Linked DNA regions of Kluyveromyces lactis. The protein of the gene in region 1 interacts with the protein of each later gene in a biochemical or structural test. Links are inferred from orthologs where the notes say so. Each region holds a gene or a part of one and is shown on either strand. Other genes may lie near its edges. The genes, in order: IPL1, SPC34, CBF2, ASK1 and DAM1.

Evidence for each region.
Region 2: of the proteins of IPL1 (region 1) and SPC34, one has a biochemical effect on the other in vitro, tested with the Saccharomyces cerevisiae proteins (2 studies listed by BioGRID). The link is inferred for Kluyveromyces lactis from reciprocal best matches to the Saccharomyces cerevisiae genes IPL1 and SPC34.
Region 3: of the proteins of IPL1 (region 1) and CBF2, one has a biochemical effect on the other in vitro, tested with the Saccharomyces cerevisiae proteins (2 studies listed by BioGRID). The link is inferred for Kluyveromyces lactis from reciprocal best matches to the Saccharomyces cerevisiae genes IPL1 and CBF2.
Region 4: of the proteins of IPL1 (region 1) and ASK1, one has a biochemical effect on the other in vitro, tested with the Saccharomyces cerevisiae proteins (2 studies listed by BioGRID). The link is inferred for Kluyveromyces lactis from reciprocal best matches to the Saccharomyces cerevisiae genes IPL1 and ASK1.
Region 5: of the proteins of IPL1 (region 1) and DAM1, one has a biochemical effect on the other in vitro, tested with the Saccharomyces cerevisiae proteins (7 studies listed by BioGRID). The link is inferred for Kluyveromyces lactis from reciprocal best matches to the Saccharomyces cerevisiae genes IPL1 and DAM1.

Annotation. Positions count from the first base shown.
Region 1 is NC_006038.1:205,414-211,312, reverse strand, and holds IPL1 (aurora kinase), read left to right. Parts: upstream 1-3,364; coding exon 3,365-4,450; downstream 4,451-5,899. Other genes in the region: KLLA0_B02376g (uncharacterized protein), read right to left, coding at 38-436; RKM1 (protein-lysine N-methyltransferase), read right to left, coding at 845-2,629; MRH4 (ATP-dependent RNA helicase), read right to left, coding at 4,513-5,899. UniProt on the Saccharomyces cerevisiae protein: Component of the chromosomal passenger complex (CPC), a complex that acts as a key regulator of chromosome segregation and cytokinesis.
Region 2 is NC_006042.1:1,996,956-2,002,554, reverse strand, and holds SPC34 (Spc34p), read left to right. Parts: upstream 1-2,923; coding exon 2,924-3,751; downstream 3,752-5,599. Other genes in the region: KLLA0_F21560g (homoserine O-acetyltransferase family protein), read right to left, coding at 1-4; KAE1 (tRNA N6-adenosine threonylcarbamoyltransferase), read left to right, coding at 1,421-2,578; KLLA0_F21406g (WD repeat MDV1/CAF4 family protein), read left to right, coding at 4,178-5,599. UniProt on the Saccharomyces cerevisiae protein: Component of the DASH complex that connects microtubules with kinetochores and couples microtubule depolymerisation to chromosome movement; it is involved in retrieving kinetochores to the spindle poles before their re-orientation on the spindle in early mitosis and allows microtubule depolymerization to pull chromosomes apart and resist detachment during anaphase.
Region 3 is NC_006041.1:343,608-350,759, reverse strand, and holds CBF2 (Cbf2p), read left to right. Parts: upstream 1-2,733; coding exon 2,734-4,944; downstream 4,945-7,152. Other genes in the region: KLLA0_E03829g (MFS transporter), read right to left, coding at 1-976; KLLA0_E03785g (uncharacterized protein), read left to right, coding at 5,123-6,409; KLLA0_E03763g (uncharacterized protein), read left to right, coding at 6,795-7,152.
Region 4 is NC_006039.1:1,071,133-1,076,487, forward strand, and holds ASK1 (Ask1p), read left to right. Parts: upstream 1-2,330; coding exon 2,331-2,987; downstream 2,988-5,355. Other genes in the region: LPX2 (Lpx2p), read left to right, coding at 1-125; SFK1 (Sfk1p), read right to left, coding at 510-1,436; MDM35 (Mdm35p), read left to right, coding at 3,238-3,492; DNA damage-responsive RNA polymerase-degradation factor DEF1, read left to right, coding at 4,416-5,355. UniProt on the Saccharomyces cerevisiae protein: Component of the DASH complex that connects microtubules with kinetochores and couples microtubule depolymerisation to chromosome movement; it is involved in retrieving kinetochores to the spindle poles before their re-orientation on the spindle in early mitosis and allows microtubule depolymerization to pull chromosomes apart and resist detachment during anaphase.
Region 5 is NC_006038.1:997,755-1,003,412, reverse strand, and holds DAM1 (Dam1p), read left to right. Parts: upstream 1-2,581; coding exon 2,582-3,523; downstream 3,524-5,658. Other genes in the region: MRPS5 (mitochondrial 37S ribosomal protein uS5m), read left to right, coding at 1-605; cytochrome oxidase assembly protein SHY1, read left to right, coding at 986-2,098; high-affinity Cu transporter CTR1, read left to right, coding at 4,162-5,070; chromatin-remodeling histone chaperone SPT6, read left to right, coding at 5,613-5,658. UniProt on the Saccharomyces cerevisiae protein: Component of the DASH complex that connects microtubules with kinetochores and couples microtubule depolymerisation to chromosome movement; it is involved in retrieving kinetochores to the spindle poles before their re-orientation on the spindle in early mitosis and allows microtubule depolymerization to pull chromosomes apart and resist detachment during anaphase.

The DNA.
Region 1 (5,899 bases):
CCCTTATTGATTGATACAACAACTAAAGATGGTGATATCAATTTTTAAAAGAATCAGTGAAATCTATTTCGTTATCGTAACCAACTTCTACCACAGGTGCAGGATCTTGCGCCTTCTTGGATTTACACGCACCCCCACAGCATCCCTTGTTCTTCTTCACTGGCATGCCAAATTCGTCCAGTTTCTTACTGGAACATCCACCATTCTTACCACCACAGCATCCCTTCTTTTTCTTGGGTGTTTCATTCTCTAGTTCATCACCACTCTCAGATACTTCCAAACTATGCTTCTTGAGGATGAAGAAGCTTATAATTAGAGCTAGAGATATGGAGACTCTACCACCAGATAACAGATAGCAAAGTACAACACCGGAGAGTACCGCACCAGATGGAATTTTGTTAAACAAAGCTACGCTAGAATCTGATATCACACTCATTGTCGGCCTAATATTCTGCGATGTATGGATTTGTGTCCTTAATAAGAGATCAAAGTGTAGTAAGCGAAAAAGACTAGTAGAATCAAACACCCGAAAAAAACAGTAAAGTCTTAACAGCAACCTGCGAAACCTCGTTAGCGTGATTTGAGCTTCTATTAAATCTATTCCGAATAGACAAATACCTTGCTGTCGAAATCGAGTACTGGAACGTATTTTGGAACTGTCGTTTAAATACTCATACTGTTACATAGAATCAAGATGTCAGACCAGTTCAGTCGATGGTTCCGAATTATTCTTTTCTTTTTTTGCATTTGAAGTCACGTGATTTTGTTATTGCTCACTCAGCAGGCAATTAAATGGGCACCCAAGCCGGAGAGGTCATAATATCTTAAAATCTTTATCGAGTGTTTAGGAGTAGTGGATGTCTATGCACTTTGTAAATACTGGCACAGAATTCGAAGCGGATGATTCCATGAGGAACGTCTCATTATTGATAAAAGTTGCGATACAGTCCATGGTTTTCACTGAGATTCTATCGTTACCATTGGGGAAGAAATAGTTATGTAGACTTTTTCCTGCGTTAGAAATTTGAGAGTCTTCGGTGTAATGTGAGAAGTAATTAGTAAATTGATCTTGTACCCAGAGGTATTCGGAAGCTTCTTTGCTGCGTGCGAGCTTTTGAGTTCTCACCATCAACCAGGCGACTGCATATTCAAATTCATCTATTAAATCTGCCGGTGCGGCATTGTTGGTTTGGTCGTATAGTTCGTGATAGTCTTTCTGAAAATCCCGGTCATGTTTCATAATGCTCTTTATGCTTGCTAGATATGGTTTGTAGGCAGTCAGTATGTGTTTTTGTAACCTCTTTATATTATTGATAGAATCCTTTAGAATCGAGATTTGCCCGGATTTGTAAATCGCCGCACATTGTTTCCTATATTCACATGTAGCATAATCCTTTTGTGATTCCAATGGTTCTGCATCAATTATTAGGTACAATTTTTGTTTCAATGCATTCTTCAACGATTGTAGTGCTGTCAGTTGGCATCTTAATGATAGTGCACTTTCATTATCGTTTTTACTCAGAAGTGAGAAAAGATCCATTAACGGTTTCAAATTTTCTAGATCAGCATTGATAAAATAAAGGATTCCATCAGCAAAATTTTCCAGGGCTTTCAATGGTTTGGTATCGTTTGTCTTTTTCTGGTTTCCACGGGTATCCTTTACTGTATCGAAAGCGTAAGTTGTGTAGTCATCAAATGTTGGAAGGTATACAGAACCATCTGCTAAAATCTTCTCAACTACTGGTAAAGGCAACTTGAGTTTCAATGCAAGGTTATCGAATTCGTTCCCATCGACTACGAATCCATATCCATATAATAACTCTTCGTTTCCTTTAGCACCGTAATTATTGCATATTTCAGTTCCTTTTGAAACTGGTTCGAGTTTTTCAAATATAAAACTTCCTTCACTGGAACATGACCACTGAATCTTTGATCTATTCTCATGGTTTAAAAGGTCTAATACTGGTAATAATATCACATTATATTCATCACAATATGGGTTTATTACTCTCTCTGGGAACGCTCTTGAAGTAAACATTAGATGAGACCATAAGAACGCTGGAAAAGAGAAGAAGTCCAAAATCTTCTCAGAAAATACTTTACTCGTTATTTGCTCGTATATTTCATCAATACTGAGCTGTTCAATGTTGTACTGTCGCGTTTGAAAAGAAGTCCCCTCTATGACATTCCACCATTCGTCGTATATCGATTGTAGCTTTTCCTTTAGAGATGTGTAAAGGTTTGTCCCATTCAGCAGAGCAAGCTCAGATGGATTCCATCCCAACGGAGAATCTACCTGTGATGGTAAAGCCATAATGTATGGTCTGAATAGCTTTGTGATGTTTTCATTATCCAAAATGATCATCTCATCTGAAAACTTTAGCTTGCTCAAAAACAGTTTCAACCATGTATTGTGATGTTCTTTGCTTTTCACTTGATCTCTAAAGTGTTTGTTCGAAAGATCCTTGGTAATTATCAGATGGCTGGGCAATTGAAAGACAGCTTGCTCTATGTCATCACTAGCAATGCAACAGATACCCTTCCCCTCCACGTTCTTAAATCCAACATTTTGTGGAAGTGAAACTCCATTGTCCTTGGCAAATGCCAGCAATTGGTCCAATTTATCCATTATTAATATATCTTTGTCGTGTAGCTTTCGAAACTTGAGCACTTGATAGGCATTCCCCTGGATCAAGATAGTTGTCCTCCTTGAAGTTTACGGCTCATCTCATGTGCATCAGTAATCTATCGTAAATATTACGCTAATGCGTGTGGTAGGGTAACTTTCATTTTTTTCCTTAAGATCTGCGAGCTGAATCATCACTACCATGGCGTAAAGAGCCGATTTGAGGCCTCTTTATTCCTCTTGATCTATAGTTTCCCAACGGATTACTTCGACCAAGTTCGTGCTACCCTAAATACACTGAAATTTCTTCACTGATAACTATGGATTCAATTTAAATGATGAAAGTTTATTTCTGGTCAAACATGATTACTACATGACATAGCGCCTACAGTAAAAACTCATGCTAGAACGGGGACACGATAAGTCCATCAAGAATCAAAAAGACCCATTATGCATATCATACAAATGACAAAAGTGAAAAGCAATCACCTAGCCTTGACAACTATAGCTTTATACTAGATCTATCGCGGTCTATGTCTTTCTACGTCTTCTTCTGCTTCACTATAATGGATTCCGTTTGTTTACCTTTGGAGAGGGAAAATGTAAATAATGAAATGAATCTGATTCAGGTTAAAGAACGTCACCTTGAAGAGTGTAAAACTGTGTCATAAAGCCAGGTCAAGATCCGACGGCGGATGTGCAACGGTACTATCAGACATCAAGATTAATATATTGAACATGAGACCATCGTTATCGAGGGATGCAAGTGATACAGGAAGAAGGCATTCATTGTTACAGCAGAGTAAACTATTATCGATAAGACTAAGTAATGCAGGAAAACGACCTAGCTTATCACGAGGACACGCACATGAAAAAGACTCGATTACCTCGTCTCATCATAGGTTGAGCACTGGACCAGTGAACAACAATCCTAGAAGATCGCTAATGGTAAAGAAACCCAACACCGCGCATGGTACCCGCGTACCAATATTGAATGATCACAACGATAAGTTTGAAAACATGACACTTCAGGACTTTGAAATAGGTAAGATCTTAGGTAAAGGTAAGTTTGGTAAAGTTTATTGCGTTAAACATAGGGAAACGGGGCTAATTTGTGCTTTAAAAGCGATGGAAAAGAAGGAAATTGTTCAATATACAATTCAGAAACAGTTCAGGAGGGAGGTAGAAATTCAGGGTTCGTTCAAACATAAAAATCTGACACAGCTATATGGATTCTTTTACGACGAAAAACGGGTTTATCTACTTATGGAATATGTCTATTACGGAGAACTATATAAATTTTTGAAGAATAACGGGCCTTTGAATGAGACGCTGGCATCCTATTTTGTTTATCAAATGGCTAATGCCTTGGATTATATGCATAGTAAAAACATATTGCATAGAGATATAAAACCGGAGAATATCTTAATTGGTTTCAACAACACTATCAAACTGACAGATTTCGGTTGGAGTGTATATAACGAGGATGGACAAAAGAGGAAGACTTTATGCGGAACTATAGATTACCTTTCACCAGAGCTCATTAAATCTAGAGAATATAACAATAAAGTAGATGTTTGGGCCCTAGGAGTTCTAACTTATGAGCTATTAGTTGGATCGCCACCTTTTGAGGAGGATACAAAGGAAATGACATATAGAAGAATTTTGAGGTGCGATCTCAAGTTCCCACTAAATGTTTCACCGCAGGCAAGAGATCTCATTGTAAGATTGCTGCAATTTGAACCTTCCAAGAGAATCCCCCTCTCGGAAGTTAAATCTCATGCATGGATTGCAAATAATCGAGGTTCTTGGACAGATCTTTAGTATTTATCATGTTTAGATTTCTATATACAAGTGGAAGAGAATCTATAAATTAGTTAGCTTTGCTAGGAAATGGAAACGTTCTTTGAAACAATTGATGGTATAGCTTTGACCCAATTTTTTACTCGTTTTCCAGTAATTATAAATACAGACCCTTTTTGATTCATTCTTCCTGTTCTTCCAACTCGATGGACCAAATCCACCGGAGTATTTGGAATATCATATAGAACAACGTATCGACAACCTCTGAAATTTATACCTCTTGCTAGAACATCTGTCGTTACTAGAACCTTCAAAGTGCTTTCAACAAATGCTTCATTGTCTTCTGGTATTTCTTCAATCACAATATTTGAGTTGGGTATCTTCATTGTTACTGTGTTTTCTGTAGTCACTTTTTCTGATTTACGGGTTGTCATCTTCTTAGGAGGATCCATGAAAGGTTTGATTTTTTCCAGACGTTCTTCAACAGAATCATTACCGGTCAAGGCAACAACGTCGTGTCCATATTGGTTGGCTAGTTTAGTTGCGACAAGTGGAACATTTTCTTTCTCATTCACGAAAATTACTACCCTTTTTTCGAAACCAGGGTCGATGTTGTCTCTATTAATTGAGTATAATATTTGAGCCAGAGCTTTGGTCTTTGATCCCTTGTATGGGGCCATATCTGCGTTAATTAATTTGATTTGATTCTTGTGATTAATCTTATGAAGATTTGGGGAAGCAATTACTCCAACGGTAGGGAATAATCTGGTGATCGTCTTTTGGAACTCTTTTGGAATAGTAGCCGAACAGAACAAAACGTGATTTAAGTTTTGCATGTGCTTTATCGTGGAATAAGAGTCTTCGACCCATGATTTATCCAAAAGTGTATCTGCTTCATCCATGACTAAAAACTTCACTTGTGAAAGGATTCTGTCGGGCCTGTTCACCATAGATATGTTAAACAAACTTAAGATCTTTCCTGGGGTTGTGACCATGATATCAATTCTACCCTTCAAGGCCTCAACGAATCCCTTGTAAGAGGAACCTGCATCCCATTTATACGTGTGCATTCCGAGTGCAGGTTCTAGTTTAGACACTGTCTGGTATACTTGTTCTACAAGTTCATGAGTTGGTAACAATATTATGGACCTAACGATGGCTTTGTCTTTCAAAGTTTCCCATGAAGGATTTTCCATTTCTGTTCTCTTAAGATAATCCACCAAAGGAATCAAATAAGCCATAGTCTTACCAGAACCCGTCTCTGCAGCTATAAGACGGACTTGTAACTGAGGGTCCATTAAAGTTTTAGACGTCTGGTAGATAGCAGTAGTCTGGATTGGTGATGGTTTCAAATGTTTCTTGAATTCTTGTACATTATTCTCTTTTGGATTATACTTCACGTCCAGTAAATTCTTATTTAGCAATGATTCGCTTGAAATCACCTCCATAAGTTTGTCCCTTACCTCTGGT
Region 2 (5,599 bases), on another chromosome or scaffold:
ACATTATCAACTCTATTTCCTCACAACTTCAGTTTCGGATTCAGAGAGATTCGATAATTCAGTGACTCGGATGCCGATGTCATCCAGTGTAAAATAATGTAAGAAACACTTCAGTGAAGATAAAACAGATGATAAGGTTGTAATAAGAATAAATTCATTGCTCTACTGTTGAAAGTTACAGTTATTAATAAGAGCTTAATATATACAAGAAGCCACAGAGCTGATCACGTGCTTTTGTGAACGAAAATATTCTCATTTGACACTTTCCACTGGGTTGCAATCAGTGGTAGAAAAGATCAGAAATTAAAAAAAATCTGGGGCGAGCTGGGAATTGAACCCAGGGCCTCTCGCATGCTTTGCAGTAGTTAAACTTCGTTTATCGAAGCTTCGCTAGGCTACTAACCCAAAGCGAGAATCATACCACTAGACCACACGCCCTCGCAATTTTGGCAGAAAACTTTTCTAGGTGTCCACAGAGTCTGTGAATGTCATGTGATCGGCGAATGAAGTCTTGAAGACCTCAGTTGCTAACTGATTTGCATGTTCAGCTCCTTCCTCTAGATTGAGGCTTCATACCTCACAGTGGTGTACGTATTTTAGAAGGTCTTTTATCAAACATTGCTGAAAGTTTATACTATCCCCCAATTAATTGCCCAATGGCAATTAATTCATATATTGAAGAAGTATTTATAACATTCTGTTGTTAATGATAAATATAAAGAGGCTAATGAGATAAAATTAGCTCAGGGAGTTTCACTGTCGTAGTAAAAAGATTTCCGCTGGTTGCAATTAATAAAAGGTATTTTTGCGTTGATTCAAAGGGTGAAATCCATTAATAAATTATCCAAAGATGCACATTGTTAGCACGTGGTTTCGGCTTCCGTACATAAATTAAAGGGAATTCAAGCAACTCAACGAATTAAATAGCTCGCGTGGCGTAATGGCAACGCGTCTGACTTCTAATCAGAAGATTGTGGGTTCGACCCCCACCGTGAGTGCTTTATTTCAAAATCCGCGATAGTTTAATGGTTAGAATTCGCGCTTGTCGCGTGCGAGATCGGGGTTCAATTCCCCGTCGCGGAGATCTTTTTTCATATCGAATCTGAAAATACGTTCTGTACACAATCTTTTCCCCTCAACGAGTGATTGACCAGCTATGACTATGTCTTGCAGTTTGATACACTTTTTCTGTTGTTGCTCCTCTTACTATGCTATCTTTTACTCACAAAATTGGTGTATATGATTTTTTGAAAAATTGGAATCTGAGAAAACCGAAAAGTTGAACTGAGATGAGTTGACTATCTTGATCTGTAATACAACTCCCTGAATATATAGTGTGTCTCACCAGTTCAACGTGTGTTCGTGCGATATTCATTGAAGGTATACCTATTATCGTCAAAAATTCTTTTTTCAGTAAGAGATGGTGAATTTAAACGGCATTCCACCAAGAGGTAAAAGGAACTATTATTTGGCAATTGGTCTTGAAGGATCTGCCAACAAGTTAGGCGTTGGTATTATCAAGCACCCAGTGCTAGAAAAACATGAAGATAGTGACCTTTCGTATGAGTGTGATGTTGAAATATTGGCTAATATTAGAGATACATATGTGACACCGCCAGGAGAAGGGTTTTTACCAAGAGATACTGCAAGACATCATAGGAATTGGGTGGTACGAATCATTAGAAAGGCATTAACGGAGGCCAAGATCGATGATCCCACAAAGATCGATGTGATATGTTTCACTAGAGGACCTGGAATGGGTGCTCCTTTGCATTGTGTGGTTATAGCTGCAAGGACTTTGTCATTGATGTGGGACATACCATTAGTTGGGGTTAACCACTGTGTGGGGCATATCGAGATGGGGAGAGAGATCACAGGAGCTAAAAATCCTGTCGTGCTCTATGTTAGTGGAGGTAACACTCAAGTTATTGCTTACTCCGAGAAAAGATATCGAATCTTTGGTGAAACGTTGGACATCGCCATTGGGAATTGTTTAGACAGATTTGCAAGAACTTTGAAGATACCGAATGCACCATCGCCTGGTTACAACATTGAACAACTGGCTAAACAGTGTAAGAATAAAGAAAAATTAGTGGTATTACCATACACTGTTAAGGGAATGGATCTGTCAATGAGTGGTATTTTGCAATATATTGACACTTTAGCGAAAGACCTATTCAAAAAGAACTTGAAGAATAAATTATTATTTGATTCAAGAACAGGAGAACAGCTTGTGACTGTAGAAGACCTATGTTACTCTTTACAGGAAAATTTATTTGCCATGCTTGTGGAGATTACCGAACGTGCAATGGCCCATGTAAACTCAAACCAAGTGCTAATAGTGGGTGGTGTTGGATGCAACGTTAGGCTTCAAGAGATGATGGCCCAAATGTGTAAAGACAGGTCCAATGGACAAGTACACGCAACTGATGACAGATTCTGTATTGATAATGGTGTGATGATTGCCCAGGCAGGCCTATTAGAGTACAGAACAGGCCACTTTGTTAAGGATCTTTCTGAAACCATTGTCACGCAGAAGTTTAGAACCGATGAGGTTTATATCGCATGGAGAGAATAATAATAGCCAATTCTGATTTTCTTGTTTATTTATCATCATATATAGAATAAAGTAAGCAATAGTTCTCGCTTAGCTTACCCCGATGTAAAGGCCGCATGAGCCTTAAAAGTCTTCTGTCAACCTTTTCCATTAACATAATGCCAACTCTTTTCACGTAAAGATTTCGTAAACACCGAAAACAAAAAAACTAAAATGTAAACATAATCGAGTTAAAAGATAAATGAATCATTTGGAGTATTTCAAGAAATTACATAGTATTGGATGAAATATTGTATTCCATAGCAGTTTCCTGAAAGAGGGTGGTGCCTAATCTGTACGTGTAGTGTTTTTTAACAACATCAAAGGATGTCTGGATCATTAGATTACTGCCTGGATCAGATATCAAAATCCGCGGAGTCAATATCGACCTTATATTTCAAACCGCCAGGCATCTTTAGAAATGCGATTGTACCAGGCAACAGCAAAGTGTACTCAGATCTTATAGTAAAGCTTATAAGAGATGGCGATTCAATTGAAGAAATGTCATTATACAGTACAGATAACGATGGAAATATGAAGCGTAAGGATGGGAAAGTAGGGATATACGATCATCTCTTGGAGAGGGAAGCAACTTTGAAACGGAACAGAGCACTATGTTTACCAGATCCAAGACCTATTACCTACATACCGAAGGGGTTTTATCTCAGTCAAAACGATCATGTCATCCGAAAGAAACAGAAACCTGCAAGAGATTTTATCTTCGAAGGAAGTAACAGCGATGAGCTGGGAATCTACGACGTGCTATTGAAAAAATTCAGCAAGGACGAACAAATCAAGCAATTTCTTCATGCATTGCGGAATGGAAGTGTGATAACTGGCGAGGATGTATCAAGAAGGAAAACTCTTTTCGTAGAAGATTTCCCAATCTCGATTATATTATCTGTGTTCCGGGAAATTATAGATCAATGGCCTCTCACTGAATACAAGGAGAAATTTGAAAAACTAATGCAAATATACAATGGATTACAAGCTGATATTAATGAACTTCAGAAGAAAGTAGAGATCCAGGAGTTAGACTTCCAACACGAAGCGTTACCGGAAAAAACGTCAATATCATCTCTCATCGATAAAGAGGAGAAAGAAATACAGAAGCTCGAGAAACAGTTGGACCTTTTGGAAGGGAGAAATAAGTGAAATCTAGCAGCGGTACTAAAAATCCATTTGATACATTAATAAGTTATATCCAAGAAAAACCGATATGCTTGCCGAAATGAAGTGGAAAGATATATTTCACACTTCGGGAATTAATCTCGCACTGGAATGGAAATATTCATGTAAGTTTCAGTTCAGTATATATCATTTTTGTATTATTAAGGTTCTAATTTTATGATAACGAAATATATCGTAGTTCCATTTCTACGGCATCTTGCTCTTCTACAGAGAATACGGTTTTCGTTCTTTCATATGATTTTATTGCTGCAATGAAAGTTCTAATTTCAGAGTACAAAAAAGTAGATACATGGAAACAAAGAGTTGTTAGTTCCTATTACAACTTCAAATCTTAAAGAAACATATGTTGCGAGCAAAAGCCTCGATAAGAGTGTTAGTGGTGCCAGAACTATGAGTTCTAATACGGGAGACCAGTTTGCCAATCTGGGAAAGGCACTGTCTACCACGGCGTCTGTTCTATTCTCGTCGCAGCCGATGGAAGACACAATTCTTTCATACAGTAGTCCATATAAGAAATTGCTTCATGAGACAATTACTAATGCAGGTGGGGGATCATCACTAGTTAAAGTACGCCACGACGTGAAATTATCTAAAGGCAAGAATACAGGTTTCCAAGATATATATTCCAATAGCAAAGAGTTCTTTAAAAACTCTTATAGTGATCCAAAAACAACATTCAAAGTTTTAAGTTACTTGAGTGATGATCTACTTGAAGACGCCCCACGAGACACTATACCTCAGAACAAGAACATGATAACAGAAAATGGCGAGAAAAGATCTGCAAAGTCAAAAAAGCAAGAACCGACGTTATTTCAAGGATTTGAAGCATCTTTACCTGTTATTAATGAAACGATAGAACTACAGCAAAAACTTATAATGAATAGCGATATGAAACCCTTAACAGACTCTGAGTCCATCCCAGTTTACGCTGAAGAAGAAGAACAAGAGGAAGAGTTTAGTTTGCCAGACCATTTAAAAGCTGATAAACTTCTGCATTCTTACTCCGCATCCTTCTTGAAGGATGCCTCGAGGTCAATCACCGATAACCTGGATTTACTTGAAATCCAGAAAAATCTAGCAGCTAGCGAAATAAGAGAGCTAGATATCAAGCTGGAAAAGTTAAAAATGATGCGTGAACTAGTATTCAAGCGAGTGGCTAAAATTGAGCAGCATGAATTGTTTTTGGAGAAGCATTTGAACAACGTTAAGGATAGAATCGATATGATTATAGAGTACAACATGGATAAAGAATACTCATCGGAGGATGAAGAAAATATAAATGGATTATCTGAACTTTCGCCTAAAACTGGAGAAACTAACGAAACATATGAAACTGCGGCTACCACTCCTTTAGAAAACAAAGAAGAAGAGCACTCTCCATTGCTTTCCAAATCCATCTATCAGCAGCTACAAGACCACGAGAAGAAATCGGATATTTCCGAAAGGAAGAAACATAGTACTTCCAAAAAAATTAAAGATGTTGGTGTTTCTCACCGTAATCGCCGCCGTAAAACTTATCCAACTTTACAACAGTTCTATGATTCCGGATCTAAGATTACAAGCCTTCCTAAGGCCCATGATGAAGATATCACTTGCCTAGATTTTGATATGCCATTTGGTACTATGTGCTCTGCTGGCAGTCTAGATCACTCGGTAAAAGTATGGGATTTAAGTAAAAAAAAACAAATTGCTACATTGCATGGACACTTAGCATCTATCAGTTGCATGCAAATTGATCAATATAGCACCCTGATTACTGGTGGTCGGGACGCAGTTCTGAAATTGTGGGATATCGATAAGGCCATGGCTGAT
Region 3 (7,152 bases), on another chromosome or scaffold:
AGATCAAATCCATTCTATTGGTAGAAATGGCAATAAACCCGTTGACCAAAGGTCCGAAAACTGGACCACAGTATGGAGCGTAAGCGAAAAATGCAATGGCTCTACCACGAGTTTCAGCTGGGAACATATCAGCGATAGAACCACCAACAAGACATAACCCAGAAGAGGACCAAACACCACATAAGAAACGGCAAACCAAAAGAGTACCGATATTTTTCGCAAGAGCACATGGAATGTTGAAGATAACGTAAAGTCCTAGGGAGATGAAATAGGCAACACGTCTACCATAAAGATCAGAAACAGGAGACCAGATTAATGGACCCAATGAGAACCCAATAACCATTAATGAACATGACAAAATGGCAACTTCTTGACTCACATGGAATTTTTCTTCTACAGTGAACAAACCACCGGTGATACATGCAGAACCGTAAGCGACAGCGATAACAAGAACAGACATCAAAATTGTGTATGACCAACGGATCCACAGAGGCCAATTATGAGGATTTTCTGGATCGTTAGTGACAAAGGTAACAAACTCAACTTCTTTATCGATATGACTTGGCAATTCCTCATCGGGCTCCTCGTCGTTTTTCTCTTCGCTACTCGAAGCGTCTTGCCTATCCATCTGTCTAGTCCTAGTCCTTGAGATAGCTGTCGGCGTTCTACCAAGAGAATGTAAGGTAGCCACTGGAACCAACCCTGTTGCTGTCTCCAAGGTATATTCTTCAGGGAAAATAGCGTTTTTAGCGACAGATGTGGTTGGAGCGTTAAAATCAGGGATCGGAACCTCCGAGGTAAGACCCATGTCCTGTAACGATTTAGCAGTTTCAGTTGGGACCAACTTCAAATTGCTGCTACCTGCTTCCCCACCACTTGCAGTGCCAGCACCATCGTAAGGTGCCGGTTCAGGCACGTATGACTGAGGAAACTGTTCCTCATACGAGTCTATCGATTGTAGTTCCTCGTTGTTCATTATTTATTAGAGTGAAAATGTGCGGTATCTGCTGATAGATATAGTTATAAATATAACTTTCCTTAGCGATTATCTGATGTCTCGTTTGAAGACAGAGGAAACTAGAAACAACTACTATAAAAATTTACAAAACACAATATCTACCTTATTAATATATCTCAATTACTACAATGCATACTAATATATATATAAATATGAAAAACTCTTGCTTCAACTAAGCTCATCTTTAAATTTCATATTTCTTCCATGTTCCGGAAAAGAAATCAAACAATAATAAATAAAGCAAAAACAATAACATTGAGAGTTTTACATACAAAAAGGAACCCAAAAGACTCAGTCAGATACCAGGCAGCTCAAAAAAATTTCGAGACAAACGACGAAATCTAACGCTGCATTAAAGCTAAAATAAAGTAGAACTAAAACTCCCTCTAGATGGCTGAGAAAATTTCAGTGACGGCTGCTGGAATATTTAAGGAAAACCCTGTATAAAACAATATACCATATATACCTCTAGTTGCATAGTTCAGAACAACGCGCAACACTTGGCTGTCCAGATCATGGAGAGCACGGACTCTTTTCTCACGGTCTGTAGCCTTTCTGCCACCGTATACTGCCCAACAATTGTAATTCACGCTTTTCATCACTAGTCGCTTCTTGTCATCGTAAGGTGAAGCGATCCCAATTGATCGCACCTATAAAGTGCTGCAGGAAGATGGACTTTTGGATCAAAAAATCTACAAATCCGCTTTTTTTTTTTTCTTTCGAAAGAAAAGGGCAGTAAGAATCATCTCGAAGATAAATACGTGGCTAGTGGTATAAAGGATCTTGAGCAGCTTGGTCTGAACAAGAGAAAAAAACTGGACAGGATGGATAACTGGTTGTGTCCTTAGCCCCGGGTGGAGTGGAACACTAGAAACACGTGTCACTTGTCTTTGAGCGAAGAGTTTGGCCCATAACTGCTGTTGTAGACAACATTCTACCAAAGGAAATGTATCGCCCTTTTTTTTTCCTTTCGGTCTGCTTGATCGTTCCATTGACTGGCAAAATAAACGGATGGTAGATGCTAGCTGAGACTACACATCAACCAATTCCATTTCACCGTTGGTATGTAGTCTAGCCAAAGGCGAGAAACTGGCTCTCTCAAAGATGTTGAAACTGGTTGCTTCATCAATTCTCCTGTTTCACGGGTTTCTAAATCAAACTTTTTTTTTTTCATGCTGCAGCCTGGTTTGATGAAATTTAATGGCTCGGGAAAGGAGGGCATCGGTCAAATTTTTGATATTCGTATAATAACTGGATCACGCTTTTTCCTGTGGACCGGACTTATGTGTTGTTGTTGTTGTTACAAGCATGTAGTGTTACCCGGTGGATATGGCGGAAGAATTGATTCTTTCAAAGAAGCTGTATGTCTGTATAATTTCTTATGTTGTCCTCTCTGGTGGGGTGCATTAGCGGTTCGTATTTGGATCGGGACGAAGGGCAGCACAATCATGGAGTTTTTGAGGTGGTCTTCTTTTATGTTCACGTGACTGTTTTTTTTTTCCAAGATGCATGCTCTTCTCAGTTTCGCTCCCCTCAAAAAAAAAAAAAAAAAAAAAGAGAACAGTTGTCTTTCGCGTATTGTAGTTCTTTTTTTTAACATCCATAATAATAATAAAAACAACAACCATTAACAATAGGAAGTGATACTTATGGAGTTGGTTGGTTTCAGGTTGCTGGCGAAAAGCTAATATAGGCTCCTGTTTTCCTCAAGTTGAATGTCCAAACTTGATTCTCTTTTGAAAGAATTGCCTACACGAACAGCTCATCTATACCGCAGCATATGGCATAAATACACAGAATGGCTGAAAACGATGCCCGATCTCACCGGCGCAGACCTGAAACTTTTCTTGTCTCAAAAGTACATTGTCAAATATATTGCTTCGCATGATGATATCGCGAAGGATCCATTACCTACTTGTGACGCCATGATTTGGTTCTCTCGTGCTTTGGACATCGAAAATAACGATGTTCTTGTATTACAGCAACGGTTATACGGTCTAGTGAAATTGTTAGAGTTTGATTATTCTAATGTTATTGCTATCTTACAAAAGATTTCTATCAATTTATGGAATCCCAGTACGGATTCCTTACAATCAAAACACTTCAAGACTTGCCAGGATAAGCTAAAACTACTCTTGGATTTCCAATGGAAATTCAATACGAATGTGTCTTTCGAAGACAGAACTACTGTGTCGTTGAAAGATTTACAATGTATATTGGATGATGAAAATGGTAAATGTGGATTGGCGCATTCTAGTAAACCTAATTTTGTTCTTGTTCCCAATTTCCAATCACCATTTACTTGTCCAATCTTTACCATGGCAGTGTACTATTATCTACGATTCCACGGTGTGAAAAAGTACTATAAAGGGGATGGTTACCAGATCCTTTCACAATTAGAACATATACCAATAATTAGAGGGAAATCCTTGGATCAATATCCTCGTGAATTGACTCTTGGGAATTGGTACCCAACTATCTTCAAATATTGTCAGCTTCCGTACACTAAAAAACATTGGTTCCAAGTTAACCAAGAGTGGCCTCAATTCCCCGATTTCAGTGACAGTTCAGAGAATACAAGTACTCTGGCTGAATCAGATTCAGAAAACACCATTGGTATTCCTGACTTTTACATTGAAAAGATGAATCGTACTAAACTTCAACCTTGCCCGCAGGTTCACGTGCACTTGTTCCCCACAGACTTACCGCCCGATATTCAGGCAGTGTTCGATCTTTTGAACTCAGTGCTAGTCACTAGCTTACCACTTCTCTATAGAGTGTTTCCCACACATGATATTTTCTTGGACCCATCCTTAAAGACACCGCAGAATATCGCTTTTCTTACCGGCACTCTGCCGCTTGACATAGAGTCTCAAGAGCACCTTTTGGCTCAACTCATCGATAAAACTGGTACTGTCTCCGAATTAGTGCCTAATCCTGTCAAGATAGATCAAAATGAACATACTCTGACACCTATTGGTACCTCACTGTCACAGACTGATATTCCTATGCTTGACCAACTAAAAACCGAATTACAAAAGTTGATTCAATTACAGACTTCGACCGGCTTTTCTCAATTGATTACTGTCCTTCTTGAGATATTCCAAAGGTTGGATTTCAAGAAATCTAACAAGCAATTTGTAATTGATTTATTACAATCATGCAGAAAGGACATGAGAAACAAACTCATGGACCCATGTTCTCTTTCGACTAATTTTGCTGATGAACTCAGCGATGATGAAAATGAGAAAGGAAATAAGACAGGAGCCATTTATGATCCTGAAACTGATAATGGTAATGAAGAGTCTGTGAGCGATTATGAACCATCTTTTAAGAAATCGAAGCCAAATTATACAGAAGAACCTTTATCTGATGATGAAAACATGGAGGAAGTTGCTCAATTGGTAAATCAGCTCATAACTAGGAAATTTAATGAAAATTTGGAACAGCAAACTGATCGGATTATCAGTTCTATACAACCAACGCTTCGTGACATGGTCCGTACTGAGGTTGCAGATGCACTAAACCTTTCCCTAAGAGAAGCTTCGCGTGACAGTGTCAACAAGAAAAACAGTGACGAAAACTTTCAGAATTATTCCTTAACAGAAGATCATTTTGAGATGAATCCCGACTGCTCTGACATCAAATCAATTATTCTAGAATGGTTTACCCCAAATCGTGAATGCGTGCATTCGATGAACAAGAAATATGGAAACAAATGGCGACTGACAGAACCAAATCTGTCCTTGTACAGGATACGGAAGCCAATTGTTCAGTATTACATACATCTAATCAATGTAGAAAACCTCAATAAGTTTGACGCATTGAATAAGCTCGAAGCCGTGCTCGAAAAGCATCACTCCGTTCCGCTTCTCTCTTCCTTCTTGGAGAAAGCCAAGAAAAACGGCTATGCATCTGTCACGTGAACATTTTTTGTTAAGCATGCTTACTTTGCATGAGGTACATAAATGAAAACCGTATAATAGAAAATTGTAACCATATTTAGCAACGAAGCAGTAAAGTTGCTTCTGAACAAAGTCATAACTAGCTAAGAACCTTTCAGTATTTACTTGAAAAGAAAACTATAACGAGCCTGATGAGATTATGAGATTCTATATATTGTTTTTGTACCTATTTGGTACTCTAGTAGCGGCCATCCATCTTGATGACCCGCTTACTAACTTCAACTTTACTCCTCCTATAAAATCTCCTAACGACCTTCTGGACCACGAGCGGACGTTAACTGACGGTGAAATTCCAAGGTATGTTCTAGATCATTCACCGTTGATCCATCTTTACAGCGAAGAAAAATATCTTCCAGGAGACATCCAATCCTTTGTACCGCACTTTCAATTGGTAACATCGAATTATGAGACGGTTGTAAATGAACCTCTGAAAATATCAGATCTCAAGGGTGAATATAACGTTGCAGGGGAAGTTTTATCCAGCGAAACCCTGTATTTACATACTACAGAAAAGTTCGAGGAAGACCCATCTTGGTTACGCGGGACTCATCCTGAATATGGAACAGGATTGACTAGAGATGCTTCATCAATTGTTATAGTCGTTGATAAAGGCAATGGATGGGTAGACGCATATTGGTTCTATTTCTATCCCTTCAATTTGGGTCCATTCATCATGGGTTATGGTCCCTGGGGTAATCACATAGGTGATTGGGAACATTCTTTGGTTCGGTTTTTCAAGGGCGACCCTCAGTATATTTGGATGAGCGCCCATGGGGGCGGCGCGAGTTACACATATAGATGCATAGAAAAAAAGGATAGATGGAGAGTTACTCCAGAGGGGAAATTTGACAAGACTCAAGTGATAAAAAGGCCGTTGTTATTCAGCGCCAGAGGTACACATGCAAACTATGCAAGTGTTGGCCAACATGCCCATGATGTTCCATTTTTCTTCAGTGCATTAAGTGATTTCACAGATAGAGGACCATTATGGGACCCATCTTTGCGTTTCTATGGGTTCACATATGATGGGAAATCTTTCTACGAGAAGGAAGGGCAAGAAATAGGAACATCTTGGTTATACTTTTTGGGACAATGGGGGAACAAACAATTGAAATGGAGTGATCCTAGACAGAAATGGTGTCCTGTCCAATGGAAATATATTGACGGACCCAAGGGACCTGCAGCAAAGAATCTAGTAAGGACAACTCTTTGTGAGCGGAGCAAATGGTGGAACTTCTGGCATGGCTGTCCTGTCAGACGGATGATTAAGAGAGGACAAGGTTTGGATGCAGAAAGAAATGATTTGGTCGGAGATAACTGCGGTATCGCCCTATACAGGATTCGTCCAAAATGGCTACGATCATTATTCCGGCTAATCACTTGGAGGGGAGCGTTTTGCGCATTCATGGATTACTTCACTGGTTGAAATGTAACTAATTATGCATGTAGTCACATGACTCAGTTTCCATTTTCGTCTTTTTTTGCCATTTTTGTTTTGATATTTTTTTAGGGTTCGAATCTCGAGAACCTTCTAGAAGATCAAGGAGCGTTCCATGAAGATTTGATGCATTAGTCAGTTCCAAGCAAAGAACAACACCATCGAGAGAAGGAAAGAAGGAGCTAGAAAGAGTATCTGTGGCGAGGAGCAAATGTTTAAAGCTCAATTGTTTTTATATTTAAGCCAACGATAACTGAAGGATTTATTGCAATCTGTTACCAGCCTCCACCTCTCATATTTCAATCTTCAACTTGAATCAAAGAACAAACTTAATAAAATCAACAAAGACCAATAAGAACAAAGACTAATAACGATGCTTGCCTGTACACTTCCAGAGATTTCACCATTCATGTTTACTCAGAACTGTCCATACAAAAAGAGAAGAACAACTCATCAGAAGCCAACTGTAAGGTACCAAGTGCAGCATTTGCCAAACGAGATCATTGTTGATCTGAAGAAGACTGCTCCTAAGGAAACTATTGAACACCATATTTTATCTCATGTTAGGAATTTCCAAGATACCATTCCTAGATATAAGTTAGTCACCGACTGGCTCGGTAACCAATATTATGTTGAAAACGACATCAACCAAGAAACAATTTTCAACGAAGTACTAAGATCTATTAATTGGACCCAGTTTGGTATCAACATGTGCAAGAAGCTATTCCGTG
Region 4 (5,355 bases), on another chromosome or scaffold:
GTGGCTTTAGTCAAGGCTCCGTTCATAATAAAGTCGAACAGTCAGATGCTTCTGAAGTAGAAGGTGGAAAAGAAGAGCCTACTTCCAAGGACAACAGAAAGTCCTTGTTCAAAGAAGTATTTTGATTTGAGCTGTGAACATGGTCTGCTCACATTTTTTTATACTATTGAACTCTAAAACCAATTCATCACGTATATCAAAAAGTTCTTTTTATTGATTGATCTTTTAATTACAGTGTCAGAATGATTCAACTCTTCATAATTTGAAGCCATTTCAAAGTAACAAACCGTTATGTATCACTATGAACTTTATTTTTTTCTCTATCTCATAACACTTTTTAAAATTCCCAGAAGCCTGGTAATTTATTCTGTTCTGTTTATTCTATCTATAATATACTCTATTTTTTGTAAAGTTCTAACTAGTATTATCATTATGCTATATTTCAGAATATCCTTCCGAGTAGTTTATATTTACAACTTCATTAATAATTTCTTGAGAAACTAAGTGAGTTATAGTGCGTTCAACTGATTGTACTTGTAATAGTTCAAATTCTCCGTAATTGTGATTTGATGGAAATACTTGGACTGGGTATATCTTCCGCCAATATACCAGTCAACAGAGACAATAATGAAATATAATCCGAACCAAAATGCCAATAGCCATTCAAAACAGGCAGTCGTTGATCTATCTTCTAAGCATGCAAAACAAATAGCCCAAACGAAAGCAGCTATTACCCAAAATGCCTTTAGTAAGCCACTGATAGTATACTTGTTCCAAACATGGCCGTGCCATTCATTCCACCTTGTGTCTTTGCCGATATCTTCACTACTTGTAAGAGGATGGACGACAGCGTAGTGTCTGCCCATTGTCATATATTGTGCGACATGACAAATTACACTCAATCCGACAAATGCACAGAATATACCCACCATGGAACTGTGCACCCTAGGATACGTGTTTGTTGAGAAGATAGTGCACATAAGCAAAGCCAATTCACCTATACTTCCTAGTACGAATGAGGCCCATACTAGATTCCGTTCATGTTTGGTAAAAAATGGAGGCATGACATATTTCTTCTGAATTAAAGCTTCGATGTAGTTCGATTCCATTATAGAGCTATCGTTAGATTTTTCTAAGTCATCATGATAAGTATACGGTAACTTGAAAGGCCAATGACCAGATCTTTGAAAATACTCTAGAGCAACCATGATTACGTATCCTAGACCTTGCCATGCCGCACAAGAAATAAACAACGGTTTTAAATTGGTCGCACCAATATGGGATATATAAACCGGGAACTGGTCTGTATGCATGAACCAATAAATGGGATGACCTTGTCCTGCCCAACATGCCAACATCGCAATTAGCATCCCATACCATGGAATGAAAGCTATCCAGGGAAAGATAAACCAGTAGTTACCTGGACGTGGAAACATATTAGTATAGTCTTGCGGTTTACGTTTATACCTGTATCAAATCCAATCCTTATGAGAATGTCTACCAGTGATATTCTTTAAAGGAATGAGCTATGTTGACCTTGTCCCGTCAAATTCGGCTGGTATAATATACTCATTCTTTTCCTTATATATCTAAAACCCGACTTCCACGAATAAAAAACAATATAAACTATATTTGACATATTTATATATATATGCTTTTATATGGCATGGCTTGTGTATGGCACTGCAGTGATGCTGTCACTGATGCCTTAAATTACAACTTGCTATTCACTGAATGTAACTGTCAATCGGCTCGATGATACACTAGCTTGAGACACCCTGCGCGATTTCTGGGCGCTTTGTTGCGATATTTGCTCCAGTAAAAAAAAAAGGTTTTCTTTCGATGCTTTACTAATAGGTTTCGAGGCTTAAGAGCAAGGATGGATAACGTAATGGATGATATCTAATTTTCCACTCCGAGTAGGCAGAGCCTTCTAAGCCATTGATACCCTTGAATAGCAGACGTGACCGGTGTCCTTGAATCAGTACGTATTATGTAGTTTAGTTTATACTTTCAGCTTGGAAATATCGTAAGCCTCATCCGAATCAGCCTAGCGCTTCTTCGTTGATCTGCAGAAAGTTACCTTGGCATTGCAGAGACTTTCTTTATGTCATTTCAAATTTCTTCTTAGAGTTACAAGAGGAAATATGAATTTGACCAAAAAGTCAACAAACCGGTTTGACAGAAAGGATTTGGATTTGGAAGTGTAAATAGTGACGGTTACAGGTAACAGGACGCGGTGTCCGTTGTTATAAATATTACAGTAAACAAGGAAAAGGACGCAATTAGTCTGTGCCAATTAGCTAACACTAGGTTTCCTGTTTTACATCATGGATGCAGTGAATATTGAACAAATAGATCAAGAGATCACGTTAAATTTACAATCAATCGATTCAGACCTCTCGTACTGTTTCAACAAGATAACAAAGGATATAATACCGTACGTGACGCGATATGGACAGACTTGTGAAGATATCACGAATTCTAGTTCGTGGCTGAAAGAAATGTTTCAGCAGAGTGCTAATGTTCAGTTGGTGACGGATCAGGCTGTGGAATCTGCGGGTCAGGTTTTGGAGCCCCGGACTTCCTTATTTCCAGAGGTAGAAAACGAAACTGATGAGTTCCATACAGTCGATCAATACCCTGCTTTATCTCAAACCGGAGTAAGTTCCGCTGGTGCCCCCACCACGAAAACAGGAGGATCGGTAAAACAGGATCAATTTCAAGATCAGGATACCGATGAGTTGACTCAGGATAGTGCAATGGAAAAACAGAGGAAGAAGAGAAAAGTTTCGTTACAAATTCACCAACATTTCAATTCGTCGTCATCTTCTAATTCTTCAATGGAGAATGATATCTCTGCAAACAGTTCCCCAATAAAGACGATCCCCCCGGAAACAGAAACTGGGACAGAAACACATAACAAAATCCAGGGCGAATTGGCCAAGCCGGGAACCGTTATTCATTTTAACAGCAAACGCGATTGAAGCTCTGTCTTAGCCTTCCCCCACTCACTTCTATATCATAGTGTGTGAGGTATACATTGTTACTCAGGGTTCCAGATCCTATGACCTGAACGAACAATCACGTGATATAATACTTTCCTTTTTAGTTTCATGCTTCTATAGCTTCGTTTTCAATCGGATTTCTACATGGTGAATTTGACATTCTGATTATGTGCGATGCAGAGACTAAGTGAGTATTCATATACGATACAAGATACGCCACAAAACTACCATGGGTAACGTGATGAGTGCAAGTTTCGCTACAGAGTGTACACCTTTGAAGGGTAAGTACGATAAATGTTTTAACGACTGGTACAGCGAGAAATTTTTGAAAGGTGAGTCAATTGAAAACGAATGCCAAACCGAATGGTACGAATATATGGAATGTGTCCAAGCTAGCTTGGTGAAACAAGGCATAAAACCAGCTCTAGATGAAGCACGTAAGGAAGCACCATTCGAGAATGACGGAAAACCTGTAGAGCCTTGAATTGCGGACCAAAGAAACGCATACATACCTGCGCCATTCGCTATGATGAATCTAAGTATAAAATAAATTAAAATGGGTTTCATTTGAAACCTCTGTAAATAGAGAATACAATACAATACCTAGCGCGTATTTTTGACCACAGTAGGGTTAACATTACCAGGAGTTTCGACTGAAGTTGTACCACCGCTACGTGATTATACCTTAATCCTTTCTCCACCGTAAGTCAGGGCAACGTTCGTCCTTTGTGATATCTGCTGTGCAACTCTCTTAATTGGGGTAGCCTTCAGAGACACCTACATAATTCTGCATATAATAATTCAAACATATCACCTAAATAACTAAAGCACAAGAAGGTCCAGTATAATGACTGCTGTCATATTCTTGTAGAACTTCGTGCCAGCTCCATCTCACTGTTTCTATCTCCTCATTGCAGTACTAGAATAGAATATTCTGATTACCCTCCCTCCTTTTTTACCCTATTGCCACCAATAGAAAAATTGAAATAAGAACATTTTCGATAAAAGTAAAATTTGATTTCGAAAGATCTGGGAAAATAGGAAACAAATATTGTTAAGTTAGATAGCTTAATACTCCAGAGAAAGAGTTCAAGGATTGAAACGGCGTTTAAGAGTTCCATTTTTGTAACGATACCTATCTCGCGTGCTTTTCTTGTTGCGAGCAGATACTAAAATTGTACTTTTTTTGGAAAGAAATTATACTCAACATTTTCCAATAAAGCATTATAAAAAATTTGCATACTTGCTTAAACTTCTAAGATTAACAACAAGCAATCAGAACTACTTCAAGAGAACTACTACTACTCACGCAATCCAATTACAGATTATTACAATAACGATCGCCTTCCCTCTTTTGCTAGCAATAATTTAGGTTCGCACAGTTTTTATCAATAGAAATAATCCCGGATGTCACAATTTAAGAGAAACGCCAGTTCGAAGAAACTGGACTCTGAGACTAAATATAAGCTTGAGACGCTATCAGAATTGTTCCCAGATTGGACAAATGATGATTTAATTGATTTAGTCCGTGAATATGATGATCTAGAAACCATAGTTGATAAGATAACTACTGGAGCAGTGACAAAATGGGACGAAGTGAAGAAACCATCTAAAAAGGAAAAGCCTGCATCGCATATAGAACACCAATCTCATAGTTCTCATCAACAGCTGCAACAACAAGCCGCATCACACCTGGACCCTGAAGATTCTCCTTCTCTAATAAATCAACATCATTCGCATCAAAGACAATCTAGATCCACCTCTAAGTTCAGTAATAACAGCGCCAATGGCAAATCAGTGCAACAAAGACAGCAACACCAGTCAAATAATAAAGATAACAAGAAGCAGCCTTCAAAGGATAGTTTGAAGCCTGCTCCATTACCATCTAAATCTAACGCTGGTAATAACGCGGGGTCTTGGGCCGCCGTATTGGCAGAAAAGAAAAAGGCTCATGAAAAGAAGATTGACCATACAAAGTCGTCTAATACAATTGCACATGAATCTACTAATGAACAATCTGAATCTAATGAACATACCGAACCAACTGAAGTTGAAGTTGCACCTGCCCAGCCTGTTGACTCTGCACCAGAATCTGTCAGCCATCAACATGCGCCAGAATCTGAATCAATCGCCACCACAAACGGTGATTCTAAGCCAAAGAGTTGGGCTGACATTGCAAGCGCAAAGAGCAGACAAAGACAACTACAGCAACAGAACAAGAAGCAACAACAGCAACAAAAATCTAAGCCATTGGACAACTTTGATGCTTTGAAGGAAGAAGTTGATCAGTTGTCTTCTGAGCAAACGGAGAATGGAAACCACGCTATTTCTCAAGAACCAGAACAAC
Region 5 (5,658 bases), about 790 kb from region 1:
CTCCTCCTGTGGGTTCATACTTACAAACTGAAGGCAGATCAGATATACAAAACATTGCCAATAATATCCAACTACAGACGGGGTTCGATGCTCAACATATCGCCAGAAAACTAGTGATGAAACCATTGATCTTAAAGATGGTTTCTAATCAAACTGCAAAAGGTAAAATTCCATCCTTCTATTCTCTTGTGGTTGTTGGTGATAAGAATGGTATGGTAGGAATCGGTGAGGGTAAATCCCGTGAAGATATGGCAGAATCCATCAAGAAAGCTCATTGGGATGCAGTGAGGAACTTAAAAGAAGTGCCTAGATTTGAAAAAAGAACTATTTTTGAAGACATAGACTATAGATACCACGGTGTGAAACTATTCTTGAGAGCTGCTAAGCCAGGTTTCGGTCTAAGAGTCAATCACGTAATTTATGAAATTTGTGAATGTGCTGGTATCAAAGATTTAAGTGCAAAAGTTTACAAGAGTAGAAATATCATGAACATAGCCAAGGGTACTATAGACGCTATCACCAAGTCTCAAAAATCTATAGATGAAATTGCTCTAGGTAGAGGTAAGAAAATTGTGGATGTCAAGAAGGTATATTACTCTGCTTGATTTCAACCAACTCCATATTTAAATTACTTTCACTTTTTCTCCTATGAAGAAACTATCTGAACAACCTTCACATGATTCAATTACGACCTAGATGATCATTCTCATAAAACAATCAATACTCAGATCTACGTAACCTTGTACATATTAATATCCCCACAACGTCGGAGTTCCAAATTCTTCTTCACGTGACTTTTAGAATATTTCACACTTTTCTGATCTTTAAAAGATTGGAAAATGAAGATGATGAAAGCAGATGAGTAGTATATCTAATCGCGTATAAACATGATTAGAAAAGCTTTAACTTCTTTGCTGTTACTAATTGTTCAAACGCATTTCAATTCTTAGCGGAAGCTACTAGTATCACACAATTAGCAAAGCATATGTTTCGCTTCATTGTGGCTAGGCCATTCACTGTACCAAAGGTAAGGCCGGTAAGACGACTTTATAGCACGGTCAGGACATCGACTGTTGACTGGAAACCTATCAAAACAAAGAAGACACCTACTGAAGGATTTCAAAAGAAGGAATCACGATGGGGTAAGCGTATTTTTCTAGGACTGATGATTGCCATGCCCGTGATCTCGTTCTACTTAGGAACCTGGCAATTAAGAAGATTGAAATGGAAAACCAATCTAATTGCTTCCTGCGAAGACAAATTAACCTACGATCCTATTCCGTTACCTAAAACGTTTACACCGGATATGTGCGAAGACTGGGAATACCGCAAGTGTACTATGACCGGTAGATTCTTGCATGATGAAGAGATTTTTGTCGGCCCCCGTGTTAGAGGAGGGATCAAGGGGTACGTTTTATATACGCCTTTCATCAGAAAGGATACGGGAGAAAGAATTTTGATTGAACGTGGTTGGATCTCGGAGGAGAAAATCGTTCCATCATCTCGTAACTTGCAACATTTGTCTTTACCTCAAGGCGATAACGTGACAATTACAGTGTTAGTGCGTGCAGCTAAAGATTTGACATCAATGCAATGGAAGAAGGAAGACAGGGAGAGTAGATTGTGGCAAGTCTTGGATATTAAGGATATGACAGAGATGACACATACTTCTCCTATTCATTACCAAGCTCTTTACGATCTGAAAGATCACCATTGGGATGAAGAATCAAAATCTGAGGGTATCGATAACAAAAACCAATCATCTTGGAAATTCTGGTCTAAAAAGAAAACCGAAACAGAACCACAACAAGAAGAATCCGAGAAACCACACGTCAACACGAAGAAAGTAAATACAGCAGATTCGGAGACAGGATTGGAATTTAACGAGTTCCAATTCGTTAAAGCGGGAGTGCCTATTGGTAAAGCACCAAAGATTGATTTGAAGAATAATCATTTACAATATTTAATTACTTGGTATGGGTTATCTCTGCTTTCATCTATCTTCCTTATCATTGCACTAAGACGTGGTCGTGGTTCCGCTATGTCACAGGATGAAATAAAGAGGCAAAAGCTAAAACATGCCAAGAAGTTCATGTGATAAAGAAACACATATTGATATTCTCAGGAATTTCTATCTCGATCCCATCATTTCCTTCAATTTTCTAGTATTCGAGATACTCAAATTCCAATAAATTATATTCAAGCAGTTAATTACTAAACACATAGTAGTATCAACCTTGTTTGTACCTGTAAATACTATTATAGCTATTTTGAATGATTTTCATTCCTGTTGATGAATACTAACTAACTATCGTTGAAATACTTGTACATCGAAAATCGAAAACGTAAATAAAGTAAAGCAAAACAAAAACACGAACAGTAAGGTGTCTCCAAGCAGACAGACGGAATGCGATAGTGTCTCTTTGGGCAACCTGGTATCTAATTTGACATCTCATAGACAGTCTGAGGTAAATTCATTACTTGTTTTTTTTTTTTTTGACCTTTCATCTTAAATTCTCAGGGCTACTTGGCACTATTCCAAACTCAACATAAAACTGCTGGATTCATCTGCTCATAAGATATGTCTCAAAGGCCAAATACTCCACAGCGGGACAGGCCAACTGAATATAGACTATCTTTGTCATCTAATGCAAGCTCAAGAAGATCTAGTTTAGGCAACAACGGTCGAGATCAGCATGCGTCAAATCAAACAATGATTGAAAAATACGTGCTCCCACAATTACAGGAACTTTCGGACTCGATGGTAACACTCGATGGTAACATGACGCACATGAATTTCATTCATGAATCGATAGCGGATTTAAATGAGGCTCTAAGCGCTTTATTATACGGATTGATGTGTAACTCTTGGTGTGTTGATTTCCCGAACATATCTCATGATACTCCGCATGAATTGAAATTAATCCAAAGACTAGAAGAGTTGAAACAAGAAAGACAAGCACTACAGGCGAAACTCAAGCCAAAGGAACTTACCAAAGGAAGCATATTACCTCTTTCAAGACAACCTTTATCACGAGGTTCTCAGATGTTGTATCGTGATGAAAATGTGCCAGGTTCTACTGCAAGCTCGAATGTTAACATTGACATTAACGATGACGAAGATAACACAGCCGCTTCGTTTGTATCCAACCCAACTACTTTCAAACCTCAAATGATATCTTCAGTAGGAGCTTCAACTGACTTTATGGGAAAACAAACGGTAGGCTCCGCGTCATCGAAACTCAGAAGAAGATCCATTCTACATCAAATACGAAACAACGCTGCAATAGGCACTATACCTAATACACTAACAGGTATTACTCCTGGAGAAAGAAAAAGATCACTAGCAGTCAGTGCAAAAAGAATTCCTATCTTGGCAGGATCATCGACTACCGCTGGCTCTGCCTCTTCTGCTAATCGTGAATCTACAAATACAGAGCCCGCTCTACCGAATAGAGTTGTAAGAACAAGACAGAGAACCTATAATCCAAAAAACCTTGCAAGCAGGCCTCCTTTCAGGTAACGAGTTATTTGATACTTCTTACCAGAGCTTTTTTCTAGATACATATTCATACCGTGTGTATATCTACCAAACAATGTAATATTACAACGTCAGTTAACAAAATGAAGAAAAAAAAATTACTGAAGGTACTCAGTAAAGATTGAAGTGCTCTATGAGGCTGCTCTTACCGCTTATCAGTGATACATGAACGTTCTCGTTTCAAGTGAAGTCTCGTTCGATTTACTTTTATTCGAGTTGAGCTTATTGAGCAAATAAAGGCCGCCCTCTTCATTTCATTCTGCAAGGAATTCTGTGAAGAAAAATGACCGAAGTTACAGAGAACATAAATCAATGAAAGAGCTAACATAAAGAATGAGATGAGAAGATTTTGAGAAGGTATTGGTTGTACATTTTAAATATAAGAAAGTGGCATATAAGTGTTTAGCCATACATCTTGATCAGTTCCATTCTAGCTGCTGACGGTTACACACCAGAAACATTGATGTTTTTTTGTTGATTTTAACTCTTTGTTCATTCACGTATTGGGAAGCGATTGACGAAGAAAAGAATAACTGCACAGTTGGCTTGGGTTAATCAAAAGAGCCACAACCGACACTATCCAAAAACCCCATCGACAGATATCAATAAAGCCTTTCAACATGAATATGCACGCAGGTGATACTACCACCTCAGCCAGTGCCATGGCCATGAGTACTAGTACTTCCAGTTCTATGTCTGGAATGGACATGGATGGTGGTTCCGAAATGACTGGAATGAACTCTTATCTCACAAGAAAATATATGAACTATCCCGTTGTCTTTGAGAAACTCTATGCTTCTGATCGCGGTGAAGCATTTGGTATCTTCTTGCTTATCGTTGTTGCTGCCTTTGTATACAAATTCTTGTTATTTGTGAGCTGGTACCTAGAATTGAAATGGTTCAAGAAGGCAGGAGTCAATGAGGAAGCTGAGAACGATGAGGCTACAGGTAAGAACGTGTTATATACTATCGAAGATCTGGAATTACAAAGGCAATTCTTGCCAACTAGTTTCGGCAAATTCATGTTCAACGTTTTCGCCCCAGACTGGGTTGATTTCTTCCATGATTTTGTACGGTTATTGATCACTTTTTGTTCTACCATGATAATATATATGTTGATGCTTGTTGCTATGACATTCGTACTTGCATACGTGTTTGCTGTCATACTCGGGTTATCTCTGGCCGAAATCTTCTTTAACAGAATCAAGATCAACATGTTGAAGGCATGGGAATTGAAAAAGGAATGGGAAAGACGTTTCAAGCTTTGCCAATGTGGACCTGGCCCATCTGCCTCTACCGATGATACTAGGTCCTTTGCATCTAGCAAAGCCACTGCTGACGCCGGCTCTACTACACCTCTAAACACGTTTAAATCGTCCGAAAAAGTGCCAAAGAAAGTCGGATGCTGCTGCAATGGTGATGAAGATCCAGAGGAAGAAGCAGAAAGAAAAATTAGAGGCATTGCTACTCAAAGAGAACAGGCGGGAAACATGAACGTAGATTTATTACCTGCTGAAAATTTCAAATAATCTAAGGCTTTTCCAACGTGCTAGAAGAAATGGAATGAGGGTCTTGTGCCATTTAGGTTACTTCAGCTCCTGCTTAGTATTAATCTTTAAATCCTATATATCATGCGTATAAATAATTTAATGACTCGGATAAACAGTTAATATCATGAATTGGCATATAATTTTGAAGTTCGACTGGTTAAGGAATGGTCCACGCATATCAACTATTGTATAAGTTTGGTAAGACTGCTAGGTAGTCGCTCATCTGTCACCAAGTCTTTATATTTTATCACTTCGTACGTGTTGAAAAGTTTGGTTCTGGTTGAAAAACATGGAAATTGGGAATTGAATCTTTAAACGCATTCGAATGATAATTACACGAACGAGTAGTGTTTCCCTTTACTTTAAGACATATAGTAAGAAAGATTGAAATCAGTTCATTACTTGTATTGGTAAGATATACCCAACATCAAGATACGGATCATCTGTTTGTCTTTTTTCCATTGATTCTGTGTGTTTTTCTGCGGATATTCCATATATATCCATATTGGTAAGAAAGCACCATGTCTGACAAAGAGGACGAAAAGCAGTCTCAGCCCGTTTTGAAGG